Linked DNA regions of Diceros bicornis minor. The protein of the gene in region 1 interacts with the protein of each later gene in a biochemical or structural test. Links are inferred from orthologs where the notes say so. Each region holds a gene or a part of one and is shown in the gene's direction. Other genes may lie near its edges. The genes, in order: ARIH2 and CKB.

The links.
Region 2: of the proteins of ARIH2 (region 1) and CKB, one has a biochemical effect on the other in vitro, tested with the Homo sapiens proteins (2 studies listed by BioGRID). The link is inferred for Diceros bicornis minor from reciprocal best matches to the Homo sapiens genes ARIH2 and CKB.

The regions. Positions count from the first base shown.
Region 1 is NC_080741.1:50,194,518-50,198,420, forward strand, and holds the start of ARIH2 (E3 ubiquitin-protein ligase ARIH2), read left to right. Parts: upstream 1-1,334; 5' UTR 1,335-1,423; intron 1,424-3,903. Other genes in the region: SLC25A20 (mitochondrial carnitine/acylcarnitine carrier protein), read right to left, coding at 507-611.
Region 2 is NC_080763.1:48,175,328-48,179,230, reverse strand, and holds the start of CKB (creatine kinase B-type), read left to right. Parts: upstream 1-866; 5' UTR 867-899; coding exon 900-1,092; intron 1,093-1,256; coding exon 1,257-1,411; intron 1,412-1,484; coding exon 1,485-1,617; intron 1,618-1,967; coding exon 1,968-2,139; intron 2,140-2,912; coding exon 2,913-3,036; intron 3,037-3,281; coding exon 3,282-3,471; intron 3,472-3,553; coding exon 3,554-3,732; 3' UTR 3,733-3,903. UniProt on the Homo sapiens protein: Reversibly catalyzes the transfer of phosphate between ATP and various phosphogens (e.g. creatine phosphate).

The DNA.
Region 1 (3,903 bases):
GAGGTGACAGGCTAAAGATGGCCAAGCTCCCCTCTGGGGCGGGAAAGGAGCGAAGAGATGGTGACAAGGCACTCTGGCAACAGAGGAATGTGTCAAAAGACATCTCTAGAATAATCCAGCCTCTGTCTTGAGCTTTCTTCCTGAGGCGGGCTTTACAGGTGACCTGTTTCAATCTTGCTGATACTGTTAAGGTTTGCTGAAATCAGAGCTTTGGGGAGGCACTTTTTCTTTCCCACCCCCAAAGAAGTGGTGCAAGGCCAGGAGAGGCTGCCGGACAGAGAACTTTTGAGCGGTTAGAAGCCGCTCACTTTGCGCGGTCCGGCTCTTTGGGACGCGAGGAACAGCTTCCTCCGACCCCCGAAAGGGGCGAAAGGGAGATTCGCTAGATTTTTCTGGGAAGCTCCGACCGGCCCCCTTCTGTCCGAGCCCACGTCTCGACGCAGACCCTGCTTTCCGCGCCTCGCCCGGGCCTCCTCCCTCCAGCCCACGCCCCAGCCCCCTCGCACCTTGACTGTGTCCAGCGGGTGTCCTACGAACACCAGGCACATGCCGCCAAAGCCGCCGGCCAGTAGGTTCTTGAGCGGGCTGATGGGCTTCGCCGGGTCTACCATGGCTCGTCCGTCCGTCAACGTGCCTGTCGGTTCCCAGGCCGCCCCGCTCTACCGCCCCAGACGCAGCGCCGGCGCCGCCGACCTTTCACCCACTTTCATGTGGGCGGGACATGAGCCCAGGGCAGGTCGGGAGGAGGGCCTAGACTGCCTGGCCCGGCTTCCGCCATGGGCAGCTGCTTCCGGCGGAGGACCCGCCCTCATGGGCGTGGCTTGAGGGAGAGGGGCCGGCCGTGACACTGTCTGCGAGTTGTTTGGAAGGGCCGGCAGGTGGCCTCGCTCTTCCAGGAAGTCGTCCTGGATTTGAGTGTTTCCTCCTCTGGGCTCCCATTGCTCCACTCACTCCGCAGAAGTCGATTGCGCTCTGCTGTGTGCCAGGCGCCCTTCTAGAGCTAGTAGCACAGCACACGGGGCCTTGTCCTTGTGGAGCTTAACAATGACAAAGACCATAACAAAGATAAGTGAAAAATGTGTAGTGTATCAAGTGGTGATAACTGCTATGGAGAAAAATAAACCCGGAAATAGGGTTAGAGAGTATGAGGGGTCGAGTAATTTGCAATTTTAATTAGGTGAGTAAGGGATTCAAGACCTGAGACGGTGAGAGAGTTCTGTCTATAGACTGCCATAGAAGGTCCCTCACCCTCCACCCCATATCCTGTCCATATGGGGTGGAGGGTGAGGGACCTTCCAGGCAGAGGAAAAGAAAACGCAAAAGCCCGGAGATGTGCTGTGCCCTGCCTGTTTGAGGAACCACAGGGAGGCCTTTGTGAACAGAGTGAAGGAGAGGAGGAGGAGTAGCTGGTGAAGACATGGAGGTAATGGTGGCATATCAAACTGGGTTTTGTGTGCCATTGTGGGGACATCAGCTTCTCCTCTGAAGGAGACAGGAGCCATTTTGGGATTTAGAGCAGGGGAGTGACATAGTCTGACTTATGAATTGCCAAGATCCCTCTGACTGCTGGGTAGGAATAGACTGTAGGGAGCAAGGAAGAAGCAGGGAGCCTTGACAAGGCTAAAGGTCATGGTCAGAGATGCTGGCAGGAATCAGGGCATAGCAAAGGAGGTGGTGAGAAGTGTTCAGATTCTAGATATATTCTGAAGAAAGAATCTAAAGGAATTGTTAATGAATAGAATTTAAGGTATGTGAGAGAGGAGTTAAGGATGATGCTAATATTTTTACCTTATTGACTCTAGGTGGACAGTATCCAAGTATTCACTATATTATTCTTTCATCATTTCTGTATGTTTGAAATTTTTCAGGTTAAAAAGCTGTAGCAGGTACCTCACTGCCAAGCTGACCTGATAACAGTCTTTCTCTGTGGGCACTCCCAGGCTAGAGGGAAGCTAGGAAAGGGGAATATGGACCATGTGTGCTGGGGGTGGAAAGATGAGTAACAGGATCAGGACTGGGATCAGGAAGTGACTGGGTCTGGCTGGTCCAGAAAACCTGTAGGGGAGTGGAGGGCAAGGAGGCTGGGACAAGACCCAAAAGCCTATCTACTCTGTGCTATAGGCTTTTTCTAGGAGGTGATGGGGAACCATGGAAGAATTTTAAGCACAGTGGTGACATGATCAGATTTGTTTTAGGAAATCTATTTTGCATGAATGATTTTGTGTCGAGATAGACTGGAAGCAGGGAGACCAGTTAAGAGAGAATTACAGTGGTCCAGGCAAGAGGCGGTGAAGGCATGAACTGAAGCAGGGATCATAGAAGGATGGAAAAGGGGATAGAACCCAGAGGCATTACCAGAAAACCTGCAGCAGCTCTGGGTTTCAGACACACTGCAATTGCAGTGCCCATGGCACATCGGGGGACATACCTGGTCAGTGTCGGGTATACAACTTGGGAACCTGGAGAGAGGTGAAAGCCAGGGACAGAAGCCAGGAAGTTTTCAGCATAAAGATGTATATATGACCCCTGGAAGACTGTACTATGGGAAGAGGGGCTGGCATGGAAGGAAGAGCTCCCAAAGCAGAAGTTGCTGTTAGAGTTTTAGAAGAAAACAGAGAATAGTGCCTTTGAGTCCAAGGGATGAAACAGTCAAATGCTGGGTAAGCTAGGGAATTTTAAATGCTCCTTAGGTTTTTTTTGGTTGTTTTGTTTTGTTTTTGTACAAGGAAGATTCACCCTGAGCTAACATCTGTGCCAGTCTTCCTCTATTTTTTGTATGTGGGATGCTGCCACAGCATGGCTTAATGAGTGGTGTGTAGGTTCACGTCCAGGATCTGAACCAGCGAACCCCAAGCCGCCGAAGTGGAGCACACAAGCTTAACTATATGCCACCAGGCTGGCCCCCTCATTAGGTTTAACTATTAGTCATTGGTGACATTTAGAAGAAGTTTTCCCATAGTGTTGACAGTGGTGGATTGAATACTGAACAGGCAGCAAGAAGGCAGAGGCACTGAGAGTCAATTACTGGTTCAAGGAGCTTGGCAGGGAAAAGAAAGGAGCAATGGGTTAAAGGGTTTAGATTTCAGTGTTTAAGATGAGACTGAGGCTGAAAGAAATATCTAGAAAGGAGAAAGTGCAGCTGATAAGACAAGGTCCTTGAGGTGCTGGGAGTGGTATCTGGTGTGTGTGGCATCATCTGACAAGCTTCTTCTAAATGCCCTGAAATTTCCAGGGCTCTGATTCTGAATCTCTGAAATTGAGTTCTGGCACAAGAGTGTTTAAAGCTCTGTGGCTGAGTTTGAGAAGCATCCATTGTTAAGAACCTCCAAGATAGGGCCGGCCCCGTGGCTTAGCGGTTAAGTGCGCACGCTCCGCTGCTGGCGGCCCAGGTTCAGATCCCGGGCGTGCACCGACGCACCTCTCCAGCCATGCTGAGGCCGCATCCCACATACAGCAACTAGAAGGATGTGCAGCTATGACATACAACTATCTACTGGGGCTTTGGGGGGGGAAATAAATAAATAAATAAAATTATTAAAAAAAAAAAAAACCTCCAAGATAGAAGGAAGAGTGTTCAAGCTAGGTGAGGAGACAGCTCACAAAATGTAAAGTAAGGTTGCGTAACGCCTAACACACAGTAGGTGCTTAAAAAGATGATTGTTGAGTGAGTTAGAAAGTGGGTTCAAAGGGCTTTAGTACAGCTGAGGAGAAGAATCTCAGACATTGGAACAAGAAAGGGCTGTTAGGAGAGAGCTCAGGTACAAAGTGGGTTGTCAGCTCTCAAGGAGGCCTGAGGTGTCCTCCTGACTTCCTACATTATCATCTTTGTTTCCCACAGATTATGGGGAATTTCCACCATGAGAGGGCAAGACTGTGTTAGTATCCAGGCCACATGTTTACTGA
Region 2 (3,903 bases), on another chromosome or scaffold:
CTGCGGGCACCTTGAGGAAGGTCGGCGGCTCGGGGCCAGCTCGGACGGGGCTGGGGGCGGGGAGGTGGGGCATGGAGAGGCAGTACCTGCTGTGCAAGCCCAGGACGCTGTCGCCCGGCCCCTCGCCGCGGCCGCCGCGGGGACTGGCGGGACGAGGAAAGGCCGGAGCCGGGTGCAGACGAGCCTGGGCGTCCTCAAGTGCCGGGTGGCTCTCCTGCCTCAGTTTCCCGCCCAGAGGCAGTGGGGGTAGGGGGGGTAACTCCAGGATGTCCAAGGGCCTGAGGTTCTGATTTCGGGGTCCTGGGCGGGCGGCGGGCGGGGTAGGCTGTCTGCGCGGCGTCCCGGCGAGGAGACAGCTAGGGTGGGCTGCCTAGGGGGTTGTCGGGGGCTGCGGACGGCGGACAAAGCGGCGGCACCACCCCGCAGTGCAGGCCAATGGAATGAATGGGCTATAAATAGCGGCCAATGGGCGGCCCGCGTCGCGCCCCTTAAGAGCCGCGGGAGCGCGGAGCGGCCGCTGTTCGCCTGCGCCGCGCCCTGAGCCGCCGACGGAGAGAGCGCCCCTGCCTCCGCCCGGCCGCCCGGTGAGTGGGCCCTAGGGCCGCGCTCGGCGCGGGGCCGGGGGCGCTGTGCATGAAGGGGACGCGGGGTCCCCGGCGTCACGCGCTCCAGGAGCGCCGGGGCTCGCCGCCTTCCCGCGCGCGCCGGCTATGTCGGGGGTCCTGGGCAGTGCGGGCCCCCCTGCGCGCGCTGCGGACCCCGCTGACCTTGGCCGCATCCCAGGGTGGCCGGAGGCTGCGGCTGCCGGGCCCTGGGTGGTTTGCAGGTCTCCGGGAGGCTCGATGCGCCGGGTCCCCGCTGACCCCCGCGTCTCCCGCAGCCCGCCGCCCGCCGCCGCCATGCCCTTCTCCAACAGCCACAACACGCTAAAGCTGCGCTTCCCGGCCGAGGACGAGTTCCCCGACCTCAGCGGCCACAATAACCACATGGCCAAGGTGCTGACCCCCGAGTTGTACGCTGAGCTGCGCGCCAAGAGCACGCCGAGCGGCTTCACCCTGGACGACGTCATCCAGACCGGCGTGGACAACCCAGGTACGCGCACCCCAGACCCAGGGTCAGGGTGCCCGTGCCTTATCCGCAAGGCACCCCGGGGGCGAAAGTCCAGTGACCCCCGTTCCCGTGAGCAGCCGCAGGGTCCTTAGCTGCTCACTCAGGCCTGGCAGTGACGTCACTGTCTCCATTCCGCGCCCCCCCAGGCCACCCCTATATCATGACTGTGGGCTGCGTGGCGGGCGACGAGGAGTCGTACGACGTGTTCAAGGAGCTCTTTGACCCCATCATCGAGGACCGGCACGGCGGCTACAAGCCCAGCGACGAGCACAAGACCGACCTCAATCCCGACAACCTGCAGGTGCGGGGCGGCCCAGGGCAGCGGGGCGGGCTGGGGAGGGGTCTCCCGGCGCTCACCGCCGCTCGGCCCCCAGGGCGGCGACGACCTGGACCCCAACTACGTGCTGAGCTCGCGGGTGCGCACGGGCCGCAGCATCCGCGGCTTCTGCCTCCCCCCGCACTGCAGCCGCGGGGAGCGCCGAGCCATCGAGAAGCTCGCCGTGGAAGGTAGGGGTCGGCAGGCCAGGCGCCCCTCCTCGTCCCCGTCCCGGACCCCGTTCCAGTCCCCGCCCGGCTTGTTTACCAGTCACCCGAGCCGCCGCCGCCACCGCCGCGCTCTTATCTGCGCGCCGGGTTCGGTTTCCCGGAGGGCCAGAGGGACCGGCCCCGCGCCCACGGCGGCCCGGGACCCAGCGAGGGCCAGGGTCACCGCCTCTGGCCGCCGCCCGGACCGCGTGGACTGGGGTCCCACAGAGCCGGGTTGGCATGGGGAGGTGGGGCGGGTCCGTACCGCTGGGGTGGTGGGGGTGTGGGGTAGGGGCTTGGCCGCCTGTCCACCTGAGCGCGCCCCTCCGCAGCCCTGTCAAGTCTGGACGGCGACCTGACGGGCAGGTACTACGCGCTCAAGAGCATGACCGAGGCGGAGCAGCAGCAGCTTATCGACGACCACTTCCTCTTTGACAAGCCCGTGTCGCCCCTGCTCCTGGCCTCGGGCATGGCCCGCGACTGGCCAGACGCCCGCGGCATCTGGTGCGTGCCCCCTCCCGCGGGCCCCCCCCTTTACCGTCTCACTCCTCTCCCCTACCCTCCCCCCACGGAGGCCGAGGAGGAAGAGGGAGGGGCCTCGCTCCCGGTACAGGTTTTGGTGCCGCCCAGGCCTCCTCGAAGGTGACCTTGACCTGACCACGCAGGTGCGTAAAGGGATCCCGGCTGGTGGAGGCCTCAGCCTCTCGGGATCTTAGAGAGGGGGGTGACGGGTTCTATTGGCTTCTCTTCTCCACCCCGTCTTGGGAGCTGGAGCTTTTTGTTTTCTCCCTTTCTCACCCCGCTTCCCCGCCGGGACTCTGCCGGGTGCTGGGTGACGCAGATGCTTCCTCAAGTGGCGGCGGGGGTGGAGGGGGGGCGCTTACAGCCTCCTGCCCGCACTGTGTAGCGCGGGCTTCAGCACCTATATAGCGCTTCCCCGCCTCCGGGGGGCGCTGTCCTGGCTGCCCTTGCCGCTTACCTCCTAGGTGGGGACCTTGCCCCGTCCACCGCACTTGGGCCACACAGCACCTGACTGGCAGGCTGAGAAGCAGCTCACGGCTCTTTTTATACCCTGAGGTGTCCTGGCCTCTCTGCCTGCCCCTAGAATGTGGACTGGGCTGGGGTCCTAGCAGCAGCCCATGCTCCTGGGTACAGCTGGAATCAGAGCCTTAGGCACTTGGGAAGTTCTTCAGGTTTGGGGACCCCCTAAAGATTTTTTCTGGATGTGCCCTGAGACCACAGTCCAGGGAGGAAGCTTGATTGTGCTCCTCCTCCAGGCACAATGACAATAAGACCTTCTTGGTGTGGATCAATGAGGAGGACCACCTGCGGGTCATCTCCATGCAGAAGGGGGGCAACATGAAGGAGGTGTTCACCCGCTTCTGCAACGGCCTCACCCAGGTCAGGCCTGGTCACCCCCAATCCAGGCTGGCACCATAGGGGCTTGGTGCCAGGGAGGGGGCAGGGCAGGACCCCAGAGCTCAGGCAGGGATGTCGGTGCCCCATCTGTCTCCCTGGGGATCCCAGGTCTCAGTCACCTCCGGGTCCTGCCAGAGGGCTCCTGGGTCCCAGTCTCACCTTCTCCACTGGTCCCCTGGGGGTTTGTCTTAGCCAGGCCTCCCCTCTCACGCCTTCTCCACCTCCAGATTGAAACGCTCTTCAAGTCTAAGAACTATGAGTTCATGTGGAACCCTCACCTGGGCTACATCCTCACCTGCCCGTCCAACCTGGGCACAGGGCTGCGGGCAGGTGTCCACATCAAGCTGCCCCACCTGGGCAAGCATGAGAAGTTCCCTGAAGTGCTCAAGAGGCTGCGGCTTCAGAAGCGAGGCACAGGTGAGTGGAGCAGGGGCAGCAGGCAGTCCTCTTCCCTTGGGGCAGCCCCCTGCCAGCCCTGCTGACCTTCCTGTTTCCCCAGGTGGTGTGGACACAGCTGCCGTGGGTGGGGTCTTCGACGTCTCCAATGCAGACCGCCTGGGCTTCTCGGAGGTGGAGCTGGTGCAGATGGTGGTGGACGGCGTGAAGCTGCTCATTGAGATGGAGCAGCGGCTGGAGCAGGGCCAGGCCATCGATGACCTCGTGCCCGCCCAAAAGTGAAGTCCTGGCCTGCACCTGCCATCGCCACCAGCCCTGCTGCTTCCTAACTTATTGCCCGGGCAGTGCCCGCCATGCACCCCTGATGCTCACTGCCTGGCAGCTGAGCCTTTAGCCTCGCTGTAGAGACTTCCGTCACCCTTGGTAGAGTTTATTTTTGTGATGGCTAAGATG